Macaca fascicularis: one gene and its partner. The protein of the gene in region 2 interacts with the protein of the main gene of each other region in a pairwise test. Links are inferred from orthologs where the notes say so. Each region holds a gene or a part of one and is shown on either strand. Other genes may lie near its edges. The genes, in order: gamma-crystallin C and CRYAB.

Region 1 (8,933 bases), on a different chromosome or scaffold from region 2:
GCTGCACTCACGTGGGGGATGAGGCGGCAGGAGCGGACCGAGTCGCTGAGGCCCATCCACTGCTGGTGGTCGGCATAGTCGCCGCGGCGCAGGAAGTACTGGAGGCCAGAGTAGTTGGGCAGCTCATAGAGCATCCAGCAGCCGCTGTCCACGCGCACGGAGTTGCAGCGGCTCAAGTAGGGCTGCAGGTTGGGGTGGTCGCTGCTGCATTCGTAGTGGCGGCCCTGGAAGCCCCGGTCCTCGTAGAGGGTGATCTGCAAGGCAAGGCGAGGCAAGGCGAGGGCTCACAGGCCTGCCCCTGCCCCAGTCTCCGGCCCCCGCGATACAGGAAGCTCCCGGGGCTCGGGGCGCGGGCTGGGCTCACCTTCCCCATGGCTGGCTGGACGCGCGGCGGGGCTGAGCGGGTGGGGCGGCGGCGCGGCGGGGCTATGTAGCGGGAGGGCTGCTGCGTTGGCAAGAACCGCACAAAAGGGGCCCGCGGAGGGGAGCAAGGGCATTTTCGTGTTCTCTTTTTATTCTTTGCTGTCCTAGTCCGCGGGGCTCATTGTGGATTTTGGTCCCATTCTCTCTGGAGTGTTCGGATTACTATCATTGGCTGATGCTATTGAGAATGTTTGTAAAAAGGTAATTTGGGACATTGTCTATTTATAATAGAAGTGGAGCTTCAGCTATTTCACATATAGTTCACGCTTTTGTTTGTATAGGTTGGGGAAAAACAAAAAAAGTTTAAGTCGGGGAGCAGAAAAAGCAAAGACTCTTAATAAGGCAAATATAAATTAATCTGTCAGAACTACAGTATTACTTACGTGCCACAATGCTGAATACTGATTGTTAATAGGAAGGAAATGGGCTTAACTGAATGTTGAAAATTTCAAGTTTAGTCCTTTAAGAGAACGTCGTCATGAAAGGGTGTAAGAAATTGGAATATTTTATCAAGAGAGTTCACAGAATTTTGAACCTTTATTATGGTAAAACACACAGCAAACATGAATCTTCGATATTGGGTCTGATCTTGTTACAGTTATGCCTGGAAGGAGCTGAGAATTAGATGTTTTTCTCTTAGCTAATGGTGGTGCCGTGATTCAAAAGAGAGAATAGTTAGTTCTAAGAGGCTTAATCTCAGAAAGAACTAAAAAGGGAAATATCTACGTTTGAGGAAATTAGAAAAGTAATATGTGCGAAACAGAAAAACATGATCTCTTAGCTTATTATTAAATAAAACCAAATTCCTAAGAAACTTATTTCTAGTGGGATCTAGAATACATCTTTGTTCTCTGAACGAGCGAGAGTACACAAGGCCTTTGACTCAGAGGAAATTAATTGCATGAACACGAAGGGGAGCTATGGCTGGAATGATGCAGGGAGAGGAAGGAATAAATGTCTAGAAGCTGGACTCGAGGAAGACTTTAGAAAGTATTTATTGGCCTGGAAGAGAACAGTTTGATGGACTGGAAAGAGCACTGGAGTGGAAAATGACCTGTGTCCAGCTTCTTTCATGTTCAAAGAATTGCTCACAGCCCTGTGTCAACCCATGGAAGTACTTTGTCTTGTCTTTGAGTCATAAATCTTTGTAAGTGGTATTTATGAATTAACCACCAACTATGTGCAATACAAATTATTTTAATTCTTATTTTCTGGCTGCTGCTGCTTTTTTTTTTTTTTTTTTTTTGTATTCTTTCTATGTAGAGCTCTGCAGTGGTAGTGAAATACCTTTTTCTTTTGTTTTGTTTTGATTGTTTTCTTCATCCCCATTGCTACATATAGCAGGCTCATGGTAGGTGCTCAAAAATTGGTAAGGATCCTAACTCAGAGAAGTTGAGTATCTAGTGGCTAATAAATGGAGGATATTGAAATGGAAAATAAACTTGTGGCTGGGTGTGGTGGCTCACACCTGTAATCCCAGCACTTTTGGAGGCCAATGTGGGAGGATCACTTGAGCCCAGGAGTTCGAGACCAGCCCTGGCAACGTAGTGAGACCCCCTTTCTATAAAAAATGAAAAAATTAGCTGGGCATGGTGGTGCACTCCTGTAGCCTCAGCTACTTAGGAAGCTGAGATGGAAGGATCATTGCTTGATCCTGGGAGGTCGAAGCTGCAGTGAGCTGTGTTTGTGCCACTGCACTCTATCCTGGACAACAGAGTGTGACCATGTCTCAATAAATAAATAAATAAAATAAACTTGCAGTATGAGCCGGTAGTCTCACTTCTAGGTCACTATCTTTTTAAAATTATGGCACGTCAGGGTTAGCGTATATGTACAATGTCATTCTTTAGCGTATATGTACAATGTCATTCTTTGCAGCATTGTTGGTCAAAGCAACATTGGGAAAGCCCAGTCACTTAAGTGGACAAATGGTGAAATGGTCTAAGGGACTTCCAAACAACAAGATGCAATTCAACCATGAAACAGAATAAGATACTGACCTAGATATATGTCCATATTATAATACATTTTAAAAGCAAGTTGCAGACTAATATATATAGCATGATTCCATTTTTGTAAAGAAAAGAAGCATGTGTTTTATGAGACAGCTATATAAACAAGGCGAAAATCCCAGAAGGGTGCTCACCAACTATAAACAGGAGTTAGCAATGAGGGGCATCAAAAGGACTCCCTTCTACTTCTTTATAGAATTTGTACAGTAGTAAGATTATGGGAGGACTTTTACTTTGAAGGGAAATTTTTAAGTTAAAATAAATTAATTCTCTACTGATGAAAAGACTTGCAATTGCTTTCTTTTCTTTCTTTTTTTTTAAAAAAAACTTTTTAGGGCTTTGCTTATGAGCAAGCAGATTTTAGTTTAATCAAAGGCTCCAGAAATTATGGCTTTCTTTAATGCACCTTTAAATTTGGGCCCGTTTTGTAGTTACAGGACTTATTTATTTATTTTAACTTTTATTTTAGATTCAGGGGCACATATCCAGGTTTGTAATACAGGCAAATTGTGTGTTGTGGGGGTTTGGTGTACAGATTATTTTATCACCCAGGTGATAAGTATAGTACCTGACAGGTAGTTTTTCGATCCTCTCCAACCTGGAGGTATTTTGTTTTCTGTTCCTGTGTTAGTTTGCTTAGGATATTGGCCTCCAGCTCCACCTATGTTGCTGCAAAGGACAGGGTCTCATTCTTTTTTTATGGCTGCATAGTATTCCATTGTGTGTATGTACCACTTTGTAAAACCCAGCCTACCATTGATGGACATTTAGGTTGACTCCACGTCTTTGTTGTCGTGAATAGTGCTGTGATGAACATATACACATGTGTCCTTATGGCAGAACGATGTTTTTTGTAGTTACTTTTTATGTTTGGGGTACACTATACCATGCAAATCTATTTAAAAGATTGATGTGTATCTCTTATTAATTTATTTGCAATAGCTGGTCACCATGAAACTGATGTGCAGTTTCTGTAATTAACACAGCATTTGGGCCAGGGGTAGTACTGACAAAGAGCTACAGTCCCGGACAGGAGTCATTTTCAAAAGGAGATGAATGGTCTTTAACTTTGTTCAAAGGTACGGCAGTGGCCGTGGTGGCTCTGGCATTACTAATACAATACTGTGCCTGAAAGTAAACAAAAGTACAATCCTTTGTATAGTCTAATCAGGCTGTTGGCCAAGTTAAGTGTGCCCTCACCACTCATCTGACTTTACCTTTTGTCTGACCCACATTTTTGGTTAGAAGGAAAATTCCGAACTATTGTTCCTCAAGGTACTTAGTTGAATGCCTCCCTTCTCGCCAGTCAGCCTCTCCCAGGTCTCTGGCATTGCCCTGCCTTTTCTTTCTCAGGCAGGCTACACCCTGCCTCCACCCTAACATCCGAGGCTTGTTCAAACTCACTCTACCTTGAAGCTCTTCTCCAACAGGCCCCGTCTCTTGCCCCATTCACTTAACTTTTGACAAGGAAATTTAAAGGTGAACTGATTTGCACAATGAAAGAACGACAGAAGTCAGCAATTGCCAATAATGCAGACTAAATCTTTATTAGGTTCCAAAATGGGAAATTGGTAGTGTTAAGCTATTTCAGTATAAATCCACCACTCTCCGCAAAGAGCCAGCCTTAGCATCCATGGCCCCCCAGTCCTGGCACCGCCTGTACTCTTGGGGCCTCAGCAGGTATTGGCGCCCCCGGTAGTTGGGCAGCTCGTAGAGGACCCAGCAGCCCTCCAGCACGTGGAGGGAACGGATCTCGCTGAGGTGGAAGCGGTCCTGGATGCTGGGGCAGTCCTCACTTAGCTCCATCATGAGGCCTTTGTGGTCTTCTCTCTCGTACAGCCGCAGCCTGTGGGAGCCTGTCTACTCGGTCCGCAGAAAGAAGGATAGAGAAAAGCAAATGAGTCTCTTCCGGAATTTGTCCAACCAAAGAACAGATGAACTTGGTAGGGTGGGGCATGGAATTGTCAATGTCAAATTTAGACAGTGTAAAATGTAGATTACTGTGGATGCTGCGCATGGATCTGTCTTCCACTAGCACCTAAATACTGCTATGCTCATTTTCTTTTTGACCTGAAATTCATTCTTATGTAGGAGATGGAATTTTTAAGAGGTTCAAACGCTGAGTTAGAATCCATCAAGAACTCAGATATCTTGATTCCTAATTACCTGTGTTAATTCAAACTACATTTCGGGGAAAAAATAGAAATAGTTTATTTTGACTAGTATTCTTTTAGTAAGAGTATTATCTCGCAAATTTATAAACATATAAATTTACCACTAAAGTAAGATTTAAAAAATCTTGTACTTCAGTGTAAAGTTAATTTAAATAGTCATTTGGAATGAGAATTTAACTGATTTTCCAAATTAAGAAAAATTACCTTTTCCAAAGTTGGACACAACCTTTGAATAGCCTATATTAACAATACAGCTTTGAAGGTTTACTTGTCCACAGTGGAACCTATCTAATTAATTCATCAGAAATTCTTTTTCTATAGGCAAAACAATTTGTTAAAAATACCGTCTTTGTATGCCCAACCAGCTTCCCATTTGCAAGTTTTGTTTTATATCCCATTTGATATTACATTTGTTACAGACCACTTTTAATTGACTTATTGGTAGCAAAAATTTAAAGTAAAACGGATTCTCCCTCTAAGTGGGTTCTTCCTTACATTTCTCTGCTGTTTTTGTCCATGTTATCTATCTGGCTTATGCAGGTCTCTGATGTCCATCTAACCCTTAGGAGTTTTTAAATGCAAACCTCCCTCCCTCTAACCCACATTGACCATACAGTGGGGACACTCCGGCGGCATGATGGAAATCTAGAAAACTCACCTGGGGGATGAGACAACAGGAGCGGATGGAGTCGCTGAGGCCCATCCATTGCTGGTAGTCAGGGTACTCCCCTCTCCGCAGCAAGTATTGTTGACCTTGGTAGTTGGGACGCTCATAGAGCATCCAGCAGCCACTTTCCACCCGGATGGAGTTGCAGCGGCTTAAATACGTCTGCAGGTTGGGGCAGTCAGTGGTGGATTCGTAGCTGCGGCCCTGGAAGGCCTTGTCCTCATAGAGGGTGATCTGCAAAGGAAGAATCGTTCCAAATTGCATTATTTGCTCTTAACAGGCATTATATAACGGCAATTTTTTTTTTCATTTTATTTTTTGTGTTCTGCTTACCTTCCCCATGGCTGGTTGACACGGATGATGCGAGTTCAGTGTGATGGGGCCTGCGGCCGCACAGCCAGTCTATATAGCAGGATGGCTGCTGCGTTGGCAAGAACAACACAATAGGGGCCCTCGGCGGTAAGGGGATTTTACGCATCTCTTTAACATGCTGCATTCACTGGAAATGATTGTAGATTGTGTCGTTGTTCTCTGGTATATTCTAACGCTGTCCTGCACATACTGCTCTGTGTTGCTTTTATTTGGATTGTTACTGTTTTCTAAATTTATCTGTGCATCAGTCTGAACTTTTGACCCGAAATTCATGGCTCTCTCTATATGATTGAGTAATTTCCTGTGAATTTTCTGGGAAAGATCTATGCCATTATAGAATCGCTCCAGGATTCCAGAGAGGTTGTTGATGTAGAATGCCACAAACACTGACTCATTTCCCTGGATGGTAGAGACTGCTGTACCTTAAATTTTTGTCTTTACGCAGTTTTCCAGTCCAGGGCAGGACACAAATCTAGATTCATGTCTTGGCTAGTTTTGACTTCGTTAACCCAATGCTTTAAGACAGCTCTTAACCTTGCCTTTCGTGGGCACGTCATCTAACTAGAAATCAGTCCCTGGTGGTGAACTTATGATAACAAGCAAGGGAAAGGTTTCTGTGGTCACTGGGCCTGAGACTGAGAAGTACTGTATCCTACTTTATAGATTGCTTTCCCTTTTTCAAGCGTGAGGGAGGCCGTAAAGCTTCACAGGCAAGAGCGTGAGCTTTGGACTCAGGCCACCTGCACTCAGAAGGCCCAATGATTAGCTCCATGGCAAATTACATAACCACTCAGAGCATGAGTTATCTCATGGACTATAGTCTGATTAATAAGAAATAAAGTGAGACAAGAGGGCAGCCTCTGACATTCAGATGCTGGCCTGGCACTCACAGTGAGGACATGTTACTCCCCTGCTAGACATAAACAGTCTCACAGAATAACAACTTCAGACAAGGCTACTCTGAGACCATGATGAAATGAGATACAATAAAGCCACTTCTTAACTTTGCCTAAGCGCAGACAAAAACAAAGTCAATGCTCCACTCTCAAAATCCCAAGCCCTCACTCTCTCAGCCAAAATGATTAACTGCTACTTCTTTATGGATTACAGGTTTATCTGTGTTCTAGTCTCCCCTCCCTACGGGTAAGATTTCTTGAGATAACTAATCACAAAATTAACCCTGCTTTCTGCTAACATCTAATCTAGAGTGAACTTCAGATTTTTAAGATCCTCCCCCAAATCACACAACTGAAGTGCAAATCCTATTAACAATTTCTTTATAAGCTCTCTACTGAGACACTCCATGCTTCCCCAAGGAGAACTTACTCCCTTGCTGCAACAAGTAATAAGCTCAACTTGTTTAAAGACAGGTGTGTCCCTGGTGGCCTTTAGCTAAAGGATATTGACATGAATAAGTGGGATTATGTGTATAAAGCATTTGGCACATACTTGGCACAAATGAACACTGAATATATGTTGTTATTAGTAATAGAGTGACATCGTTAAGGCTGACTTTATCCTGTTTATCTCTCTCAAAGGTATTTAATCCTTTCAAAGATTCCTGAAAAAAATTTATCCTCTGTAAAGCCATTTTGTGATTAAAGAAAAATTAGGCTTGGAAGGGACTTCAGAAACCATCAGGCGGTTTTCAAACTCGAGTGTGCCTAAGAATCACCTGGCATGTCAAAACCGCAAATTACCATCTTGACCTTTTGGCCAAATCCTGCATCATTAGATCAGGAGAAGACCTCAGAACCTATATTTTTATTTTTTATTTTATTTAATTTATTTTATGTTTTGAGACGGAGTCTCACTCTCTTACCCAGGCTGGAGTGCAGTGGTGCGATCTCAGCTCACTGCAGCCTCCGCTTCCTGGGTTCAAGTGATTCTCCTGCTTCAACTTCCTGAGTAGCTGAGATTATAGGCGTGCGTCACCACATGCAGCTAATTTTTGTATTTTTAGTAGAGACAGGGTTTCGCTATGTTGGCCAGGATGGTCTCAAATTCCTGACCTCAGGTGATCCACCCAGCTCGGTCTCCCAAAGTGCTGGGATTACAGGCATGCGCCACCGTGCCCAGCCCAGAACCTATATTTTTAATAAGCACCAAATAGTTCTTGGGCCAAAACACTGCTGTGGTTTATCCCTTTATATTTTGACAAGGAAATCATGTATTTTAGCCATCCCCAGGCAATGCCTTATTAGGAATTGTACTAACATTCTCTTTATTCTATTTATTTATTTTTTGAGACAGAGTTCTGCTCTGTTGCCCAGGCTAGAGTGCAATGATGCAATCTTAGCTCACTGCAGTCTCTGCCTCCCACACTTAAGCTCAAGCTCCCACTTCAGCCTCTTGAGTAGCTGGGACTATAGGTGCATGCCACCACACCCAGCTAATTTTTTGTATTTTCTTTATGTAGAGACAGGGTCTCACTATGTTGCCCAGTCTGGTCTTGATCTCCTCAAGCAATCTGTTTGCCTCGGCCTCCCAAAGTGCTGGGATTACAGGCATGAGTCACTGTGCCCTGCCTAACATTCTCTTTAGACCTAAAGGCAGATGTGCTCTCTGCTTTGTAGCACTCTTTCTTGTTCTATAAAGTTTCATATGTACACAGTGAGAGAATCAGAGCAGAGATACCAGCACTTAAATTAGAGCACTGGTAAGAAGACAGGAAAAGCAATAAAGGGGCCAGAAAATGCATATCCCAGAACGTTTCTCTTGTTCCAGAATGGCATAGTCTTGTATTTCTCCAACCTTTTTTCAAATCTTTCTCCTTCTCTCCTCTGCCCCAACTACCCCCCACCCCAAAACCCCTGCCATTGTAGCTGCCTTACATAGGGTCTTATCGTATCTCAGCTGGACTTTCAACAGCCTCCTGACTGCCCAGTCTTATCTTCCTCCAAACTGCACTCGGCCAGATGCTGGAGTGATGAGAATCAAAACACATCAAGTCATGCTGTTCATTTGCTTGAAATATTTCACAGCCTCCCATTGTCTCCAGGATCCAATATTGATCCCTTAGCATGGCATCCTAGACCTGGCCTCCTCTGTCTGTCCCCATGCTTTCTGTTTGATCACACCAAACCACTTGTCATTTCCCAAATGCACAACATTATTTCATGTTGTTCTTGTTTTTCAAAATATTGATCCTTCTCAATGAGACACCAGTTTATTTTTCAACCAGAGAAATTTTGCCCTTTCTTCAAGTCTCAGCTCAAGCATCAGTTTCTCTGTAAAAGATTTTCCTGAACCCTTCCTCATCTTCTGGGCTGAATTAAATACTGC
Region 2 (8,933 bases):
GATGTGCCTGCTTCCCCTTTGCCTTCCTACCATGATTGTAAGTTTCCTGAGGCCCCCCAGCCATGCTTTCTGTGGAACTGTGAAATGATTAAACCTCTTTTCTTTATAAATTACCCAGTCTCAGCTAGTTCTTTATAGCAATGTGAGAATGGACTAATATAGTGCTCAATAAATATTAGCTAATATTAAAAGACAAAACAAATGCTAATTAGAATTGTCTCAGTAAACTTCTATAAATTCAGATATAGGGAATGAAGTAGAATCATGGATGAGTTAGCTATAAAGCAAAAAACAAAAAACAAAAAACTCTCAAACATACTGTACTAGAACATACTGTACTAGTCCTATACTAATATCGTAGCTGTGAATAGCCACAGCAAAGGGTATGATCTAGAAAAGAATAACAATAAAGAACCAGTTTAACTTAGGCACTTATGGTAACAACAAACAAAAAAATGTGACCCTGCACATTTTTGAAACAAATATCATTATATAATAGTCAAAGTTGTGATTTATTTAAAACCAAGTCCATCTTTGCTTGGGAAATATACTGATAATTCACTAAAATGATTAAAATTGACACATGGCTTCCAGGCATTCAGTTATGTTACACTATCTAATTCAGCCTTGATAATGTCAGATGTTTTTGCCTAGGAGTAACAGAAAACCCACGTCAAAACAGATTATTAACAAAAACAAGACATAATCAAACAGCCTGAAGTAGGGAAACTCTAGAGTTGGCTAATTCAGCAGTTCATTGACCCATTAAGGACCTGAGATTATTGTCTTTGTGCTCAGCATATCATGGATGCACGTTCCACGTTTTCAAAACAGCTACAGTAATCCAGGCATCACATTCTCATGCTCCGACATCCAGAGCAAGGAAAAAAAAATCTCTCTCTCTTTCTCTCTGAATCTTTTTGAAACCTTTTCTTAGTTTAGAAACTTTTTCTAGAAGCATCTCCAACAGACTTCCCTCCTGCCTCATTTGCCATAATTGAGTCACAGGCCTTTCAAAAATAATATTGAAAATCAAGAAGAGGATTTCCCTGCTTGATTTGGACTAGTCAAGATAGACCTCCTTTGGCTGGAGCTTGAGTTCAGTTCTCTGAAGCATATGGCTAGGAAGAATATGGTGTATACCTAAACCAATCTGGGGTAATGTTGGCAAGGCTGAAGGTGGTAAATAGCTGTTGGTTAGGCAGCCAACAGTGTCTGCTGCACAGCCACAAAAATTAGCTGTAAACTTCTGGCTAGATCACAGTATTTCAGACTATTAGGAAGTTGTTTTTTAAGAGAAAGCGTTTTTGAACCTGTATAGATTTGCAATTTATGTTGTCCTAGCTCCATACCCCTGCATCATTAAATTTTTTTATTTTTAAGTTTCCAATTTATTTATTTATATTTTTTGTTTTACTTGGTATAGTCAATTTTTCATTTTAGTCATTCTAATAGAGGCGCAATGGTATCTCATTATGATCTTTTTTTTTCCTTTGTTTTGTTACATAGGTAAATGTGTGTCATGGGGGTTTGTTATAAAGATTATTTCATAACCCAGGTATTAAGCCTAGTATCCATTAGGTATTTTTCCTGATTCTCACCCTTCTCTCACCTTCCATCCTCCGAGAGGCCCCAGTGTGTGTTGTTCCCCTCTATGTTATAAAAAAAATTTAGGCAATTGTTTCATGTAGAATATTTCAAAACCCTGGTCAGTCCCCAAACTGACTGATTTCTGATTTTGCAAGAAATCAGAAATTAGCTGGAAGCTGCTGAAGAAAAAATAAAAGTTGTCAATAAACATTTATACCAGATCACCTACAGCAGTCCTGTTTATCAAGTGAATCAGAAGTTTTGTCCAGACCCACAGAAATGAAATGGAGGGTTGTTTTTTCTTTTGGGGGGGATTTTTTTGCATAGTGGTATGTCTTTAAGCTAAATAATGGAACCACTTATTGATTGGTTATTAATTGTAATTCTAAAACTTAACTATTATGTGGTAGGTCATTGAATTGGATATTTCCTGGCCTTAGGTTAGTAGGTGTTTGCTCGATAATTTAGACCAGGGGTCCCAACCCCTAGGCCATGGACTGGTACTGGCCTGTGGCCTATTAGGAAATAGGCTGCACAGTAGGAGGTGAGTGAAGCTGAGCTCCTCCTCCTGTCAGATCAGTGGTGGCATTACATTCTCATATAAGCATGAATCCTATTGTGAACTGCACACGTGAGAGATCTAGCTTGTGTACTCCTTATGAGAATCTAATGCTTGAATCATCCCGAAACCATCCCCTGCTCCCCCGGGGCCACGGGAAAAATTGTCTTCCACAAAACCAGTCCCTGCTGCCAAAAAGGTTGGGGGCCACTGATTTAGCCTATACCTCAGAGCTTGTTAGGTGATAATCAGCCAAGTCCTGCTTATTGCCCTTGTAAATCAGCTTAAGGCAATACTTATCAATAGGAAAACGTCAAACAATATTAGGGTCACCATGTCTTCCCTGATGATGTAATTAATTTTAGAGATGTAGTAAGGCCTTTTATGTAGCATTATCCAGAGTTCATTCAGATGTGTTCCAGTCCTTTAAACTGAGGGCTAAAATCAAAGAGGGCAGAGACAGAGTAACTAATATTCCTTGAACTCTGCCAGGGGCTTTTCCTGCTTCTTCTCCTTAATTTACTTCCTATAATAGCTCTGTACAACTCAGTAACCCATGTTATAAATGGAAAACCTGAAGACCAGAAAGGTTAAGCAACTTGCCTAAATTTATATCATTAGTAAATGGTGGAGCCAGTCATTCTGACTCTAAAATCCTTGGAGCCCTCTAAATCATAATGCAATCATAAATAGATCTGTGGTATCCGTACATTTATTTAAAAGTGTGTGGAATATTCAAACACAAGACAGTTATCTGTTGCTGAATGATATTTTATTAGCTTGATAATTTGGGCCTGCCCTTAGCATTAATAAGCTTCAGCACTAGTCACAAGACTTTCATTCACTGGCGGGGAAACTTTCTTGTTTTAAAAAATGCAATTCAAGAAAGGGCATCTATTTCTTGGGGGCTGCGGTGACAGCAGGCTTCTCTTCACGGGTGATGGGAATGGTGCGCTCAGGGCCAGAGACCTGTTTCCTTGGTCCATTCACAGTGAGGACCCCATCAGATGACAGGGATGAAGTAATGGTGAGAGGGTCCACATCAGCTGGGACCCGGTATTTCCTGTGGAACTCCCTGGAGATGAAACCATGTTCATCCTAACCCAAAAGAATGAGGAAAGAGGCAGAGAGATAAGAATATGAACTACTATCACCTGCCCAGAACTCAGGCATCCTGATTTCCCCTTAGGTGAGACCAAATGCCATGACAACATAGGAAAAATAAACAGTGCTTTGTTTCAGGGTTGTGGCTAAGATGAAGTTACCTAGGTAGTCACTCCTACCAGTGAGAATCTGAGAAGTCTGAAACAGTACAACACTTCATTGTTTTTCAAACCCTGAGGCATAGATATGTTTAGGAGTATTTCCCAAAGGTTTAGATAATGTTGACTGGGCCTACAGAATTTGGAATCTCATTTAGAATCTGAGTCCCTGAGGAAGCCCTGAAATTGTCCTGACTCTTCAGGAATGTCCCAGAAGGTTCCAGAACAATAGGACTGCTGCTGGGGGAAAAAAAAAAAAAAGACTCCATCCAAGGAGACTATGACCCAAACCTAAATCATATGAGCAAAATTGAAACAGCCTGAGGACATTACTAAGGACAAACTGTACTGGTTGACGCACAGGTTCTGAGCTATCGCTGAGCTATCGTTAATTGGTGAGAAGGAATTTTAAAGCCCTCTTACAAAGTCATGAAAAGCTGTTCCATTCGTCAGAATTCCCCCAAAGAGTAGATGACCTTAACCCGTATGCCTGCTGACTCTCAAGCATGTAGCCAAACAGGCTCTCATTAACTGATTTCCGCATGGGCTATAGGGGATTAAAGACTGAGCACAGCTCTGAAATTTAGACAAACCAAGTAGTTCAGCATTAAGATGGGCTAAAGAAGAGACATGGATTCTTGCACAGCTAACAGAGAATTCACAACTCAAGTGCCTTTAGGGTACCTGTAGTTAATGTAATTATGCAAAGCAACTAGGTGTCTGACAGCCCTATACCTAAATCAGTGGTCCTCAACCTTGACTGTAGATTAGAATTACCTTAAAAAATGTTGATGCCCTGGGTCCCACCCCTAAAAATTCTGATTTAATTGGTCTGGAGTATGCCTGAGCATTAGGTTTTTTGAAAGTTCCCCTGGTGATTCTAATGTGGCCAAGATTCAGAACCTCTGGCTAAGATGGGGCATCAACATCCCATCATCCCATCTAAGGCGATCAAATCAAACAAAGACCACATCTCTGGCCATAACAACAGTAACAACAGCAATAGGTCTATCCCTAACTTAGTCTTCTAGACATTGATTTGTAACCCCTGATCTAGACTATTATAGCTTGGGACTGGAATGTAGCCAGCCTCCAAAGCTGATAGCACTACCTGGACTATTACAGTATACACTGAATGAATGAGCAGAAAACAAAAACCAAGCTACATACCTGGCGCTCTTCATGTTTGCCATGCACCTCAATCACATCTCCCAACACCTTAACTTTGAGTTCCTCTGGGGAGAAGTGCTTCACATCCAGGTTGACAGAGAACCTGTCCTTCTCCAGGCGCATCTAGAAATAGCAAGGTAAGGGAATGGGACGGGAGAAAGATGGCGAAAGTACTCATTATACTGGTGTTGTCTTATTCTGCAGAGTTGCTTTCTGTCCAGGTAATTCATCCTTCTCTTTTCTGCTTTAAAATATCCCCTTTTTAAATAAACATGGCTCTCTGCTTCAGGGAGCCACCACAGTGATACCTAAGGCTCATGGTGATCCGACCCAAACTTTATTTACAGGGACAGAGAAGAAGACAGATCACCCAGGGGACCAGTCGCAAGGATGGGTGCAGGCCTGGCATCTGCTGCCTCTCTGGCTCCGATGCCTGGCTTTGTGGTTTGTCTGTGAGACAAAGGCCTCTTCTTCTGGCTCAGGTCTCTTTGCCAGTTTTCCACCCACCCAATCTGGAATGTTCTGCTGGTCCTGCTTGTCCTTCCAAAGCCCTTGCCCACTCATCTCCTGTTTACTCACACTCGAATATTTTTAAACCAGAGCGTTATCTGTGACAGCTTCTGTCAACCTTATATGTTCACCCTGTTCTCTCACCCTCTTAGGACGAGTGGGGGTCCCTATATTGTTTCCTCATAAGGCTTGGTTGGACCCAGGCCAATGCCCTGTCACAGCCCTGAGAAACCCAGAAAATCACAGAAGAGGGAATAAAAAGGCAGAAAATGCCCATGAGGGTGAACAGCTCAGGCAGGGTGAGGCAGGGCTCTCTCCTGGCTCTGACACCTGAGATGGTAAAATTGGTCAAGAGTCCATGGTGTTAGAAGAGATGAGCAAAGGAGTTTGAAGGCAGCTCTTTCCCTGCAGATTGTTATGAACCAAACCAGAAAGGGGTACCCTGCAGAGAAGTTAGGGGATGGAGGATGAACTTGACAGTGCATGAAAAAAATGTAATAAATGGGATACAGAGGACCATCAAGTAGAAACAGGTGACGGGGGAGGGAGGAACTAGCAACCTCCTCATTTTTCTTCACATTTGGATACACATGTGCCTAAAATGGTTTAGGCAGGAAAGGAGAGGAAAATGGATGGAGAAGTTTACAGGAGGTTCCAGTAAGGACTCTCCCATTCTAGCAGTGGGGAGACTCACCTCTGAGAGTCCAGTGTCAAACCAGCTGGGTGCCCGCAGGAAGGAGGGTGGCCGAAGGTAGAAGGGGCTCAGGGAAGTAGACGTCGGGAAAAGATCAGACTCCAACAGGTGCTCTCCAAAGAACTGGTCAAAGAGGCGGCTGGGGGAGTGGAAAGGAAAGAAGGGGCGGCGGATCCAGGGGTGGTGGATGGCGATGTCCATGGTGGCTAGGTGAGTGTGGGGGGTCAGCTGGCTGGTCAGCTCCTTCAGCTGCAGCTACAGCCAGCCCCTTATATATGCAGTCTTGTGAAGCTTCTGGAATGGTGATGTCAGGGGTTTTATTATCCTAGCTCACCGCCGGTTCATGGAGACTTGTGATCGGGGATTTGGCAGTGTGACACATACCCAGTACTCACTGAGCTAAGAAAAGAGAAACACAAACACGTCTGAGCCGGCCAGTGACTTGTCATGGTCTTGTTTCACTAGCTTTCTGTACACACCCAGTGGCACCCACCCCCACCCCAGTTCTCTGAAGCTGGTACAGAGTCAGGAATCCCAAGCAGGCACGCGGGTGGGTGGAGGGGCAGGCGGTGGAGTGTGCCCCTCCTCCTCCTCCTCTTCAGTCCTGAATGCCAGGGGAATCAGGCCAGCAACTATCTTGGGCCTGGGCAGGGACTGGAATCTTCCTAGGCTGGGCCCCAGGGACATTAACTCTTTGTGAGTCCTTGGAAGAGAGCAGTGATGGTCAACATGCGGGTACCAGCCATCTGCCTCCTGCCCTGGGTTGACCTGGGTTTAGGAGAGGACTCCGACATCTGGGCAGAAAGACCCCACTCCCTGAAAAAAAGAGCAGAAAGATTTCTTGCATCTTTCATCCTATGTGGCTCTCAGAACATTAAATCCAGGAGTGCTTTAGGAATTGGGTGCACAGTGCCGGCCTCCAAGGAGGAGAAAATGAGGTGTGGAAACGTGCAAACCGTTTGTGAGGGTTTCAGCGAGGCCTCTTCATGCCCCAGGCACCACCAGCTCCCCCTTCTCAGCTCGTTCCTAACCAGGACCCTCAGCTGTCCTCTCAGGCCCCCTGCGACAGCTGAAGAGTGTGCGGGGGAGGGGACTAGGGGTCCAGGCGGCGCTGGTCACACCCTCGTTGCTCTCACTCAGGGCCCCCACTCCCCGCCCCTCCCCCCCAGAGGCTCGGCACTATTTTGGGTGGTGTCGACCCCGCCCCCACCTCCTATCGAGCCCTGGCTCTCCGGGCAGCTGGAGGGGTCGCGCTGCGCCTGTTGGGGCTGCACCTCGGACCAGGGCTCCCGCTGCATCTGCAGCCATGTCGGGCCGCTCAGTGCCACATGCCCACCCAGCCACCGCTGAGTACGAATTTGCCAACCCGAGCCGCCTGGGTGAGCAGCGCTTCGGAGAAGGTATGGCACAGATGCCACCCCCTTGCCTCCCACCCCCACCCCCTGAAATTCTGGGCTGACCTCCCAACGTTACTGGCCTCCACCCCACTCTGGGCTTAACTGATCTCCTGGGACCAGCCACCCCCCACCCCAGACTCCCTCTCATCCCCTCCAAGCAGAGCTCTTTCCCATTCCTGCTGACCTCAAGACACACTTGGTGCTTGCAGTGCTGCTACCTGCCCTTTGCCCGCCTGGGTGTGCCTCCTTGTCCCCCTTCTATCAACCAGGCCATTTGGTGCCTCCTCCTCCCCCTGCTTCTCCTCCTCCTCCTCCCTTTCCTTTCCGTTCTCTTTCCCCTCTTCCCAGCTGCCTTCTCCTCCTAGCTACTGTGTGGCCTCCTTCCCGTTCCCCACTCCTCCTGACTCCCCTCTTGCTCTTCCCAATCCCTCCTCTCCAGATTTCCCATTTCGCCCCTGTGCCAGCCTCATCCTCCCTCATCCTGCCTCTTGCGTTCTCTCTGCCCCTTAGGCCTCCTTCCAGAAGAGATCCTGACCCCCACACTCTACCATGGCTACTATGTCCGGCCTCGGGCCGCCCCAGCTGGGGAGGGCAGCAGGGCAGGGGCCTCCGAGCTTAGGCTCAGTGAGGGCAAGTTCCAGGCATTTCTGGATGTGAGCCACTTTACCCCAGACGAGGTGACTGTGAGGACTGTGGATAACCTGCTGGAGGTGTCTGCCCGGCACCCCCAGCGCCTGGACCGCCACGGCTTCGTGTCCCGAGAGTTCTGCCGCACCTATGTCCTGCCTGCTGATGTCGACCCCTGGCGGGTCCGAGCTGCTCTCTCCCATGATGGCATCTTAAACCTGGAAGCGCCTCGGGGTGGCCGACATTTGGACACAGAGGTCAATGAGGTCTACATCTCCCTGCTCCCTGCGCCTCCTGATCCAGAGGAAGAGGAGGAGGCAGCCATAGTTGAGCCCTGATTGCCACAGACCCAGCACCCAGCAAATCCCTCTCTACCTCCCATGGTGATATGGGCAGCTGCCCACCACTCCAGAGGTAGCAGCGTCCTTGGGGGAAAGGAAAGGTGCATGGTCTACAATGTATGGTTTGGTCCCATGGGACGTGTCATAGCCTTGGTTTAGTTTTGGGTGGAGCCGAATAAACCCAAATCTCAGGGCCTTGTTTGTGCTGCTCCCTATTCTGTGGCCGGCAAGCTGGGATGGGGAGGGAGGGAGGCGGTCACAGCCAGCTAGACAAAAAGTTCCTCAGTTTGATGTGCCTAACGTCATAGGACCCTGAGCTCGCACTTGGATACTGAGATCACACCCGGAAGCTGATGCTGGCTCCAGATCAAATTCCTAGCCGTGATTTTCTCACAGTGCAACAAAAGAGAGAGTGATCCTGGGAGAGAAAAGGGATATGCCATCCAAACAGCCCAGAGGGCACTGTCTGAGCTGGTGATTAGAGACACAAAAACAAGGGTCTCCAGACTGTCTGGCCCGTTTTGGGTAGGGGCTGGGAAAATGGTTTTTGGCTGATGAGAGTTGCCTAAAGCCCTGGAGTAAATACTTTGTTTTCATGTACTAAGGTCTGTCCACTGAAATGGTCACTGATTTTGAGAGCCCGAGTATGCATACACAGGGGCACAGACACAAAGCCTCTCCAATGATCATGGAACCCCATTACCTTCCCGTCCTCTGGGGGTATGGTGTATTCAGAAAAGCCTGAGGGTCTGTCCCCTCAGTTATTCTCTGCAATCAAGAGAA

Evidence for each region.
Region 1: the proteins of CRYAB (region 2) and gamma-crystallin C interact in binary tests that used the Homo sapiens proteins (3 or more experiments, as listed by UniProt). The link is inferred for Macaca fascicularis from reciprocal best matches to the Homo sapiens genes CRYAB and CRYGC.

What each region holds. Positions count from the first base shown.
Region 1 is NC_088386.1:104,090,221-104,099,153, forward strand, and holds gamma-crystallin C, read right to left. Parts: upstream 5,863-8,933; 5' UTR 5,619-5,862; coding exon of another isoform or gene 5,610-5,618; 5' UTR 5,541-5,609; coding exon 5,268-5,540; intron 4,296-5,267; coding exon 4,023-4,295; 3' UTR 3,957-4,022; downstream 1-3,956. Other genes in the region: gamma-crystallin D, read right to left, coding at 12-254, 365-373. UniProt on the Homo sapiens protein: Crystallins are the dominant structural components of the vertebrate eye lens.
Region 2 is NC_088388.1:110,833,333-110,842,265, forward strand, and holds CRYAB (alpha-crystallin B chain), read right to left. Parts: upstream 6,033-8,933; 5' UTR 5,987-6,032; coding exon 5,786-5,986; intron 4,996-5,785; exon of another isoform or gene 4,927-4,995; intron 4,705-4,926; coding exon 4,582-4,704; intron 3,248-4,581; coding exon 3,044-3,247; 3' UTR 2,905-3,043; downstream 1-2,904. Other genes in the region: HSPB2 (heat shock protein beta-2), read left to right, coding at 7,092-7,185, 7,693-8,147. UniProt on the Homo sapiens protein: May contribute to the transparency and refractive index of the lens. Has chaperone-like activity, preventing aggregation of various proteins under a wide range of stress conditions.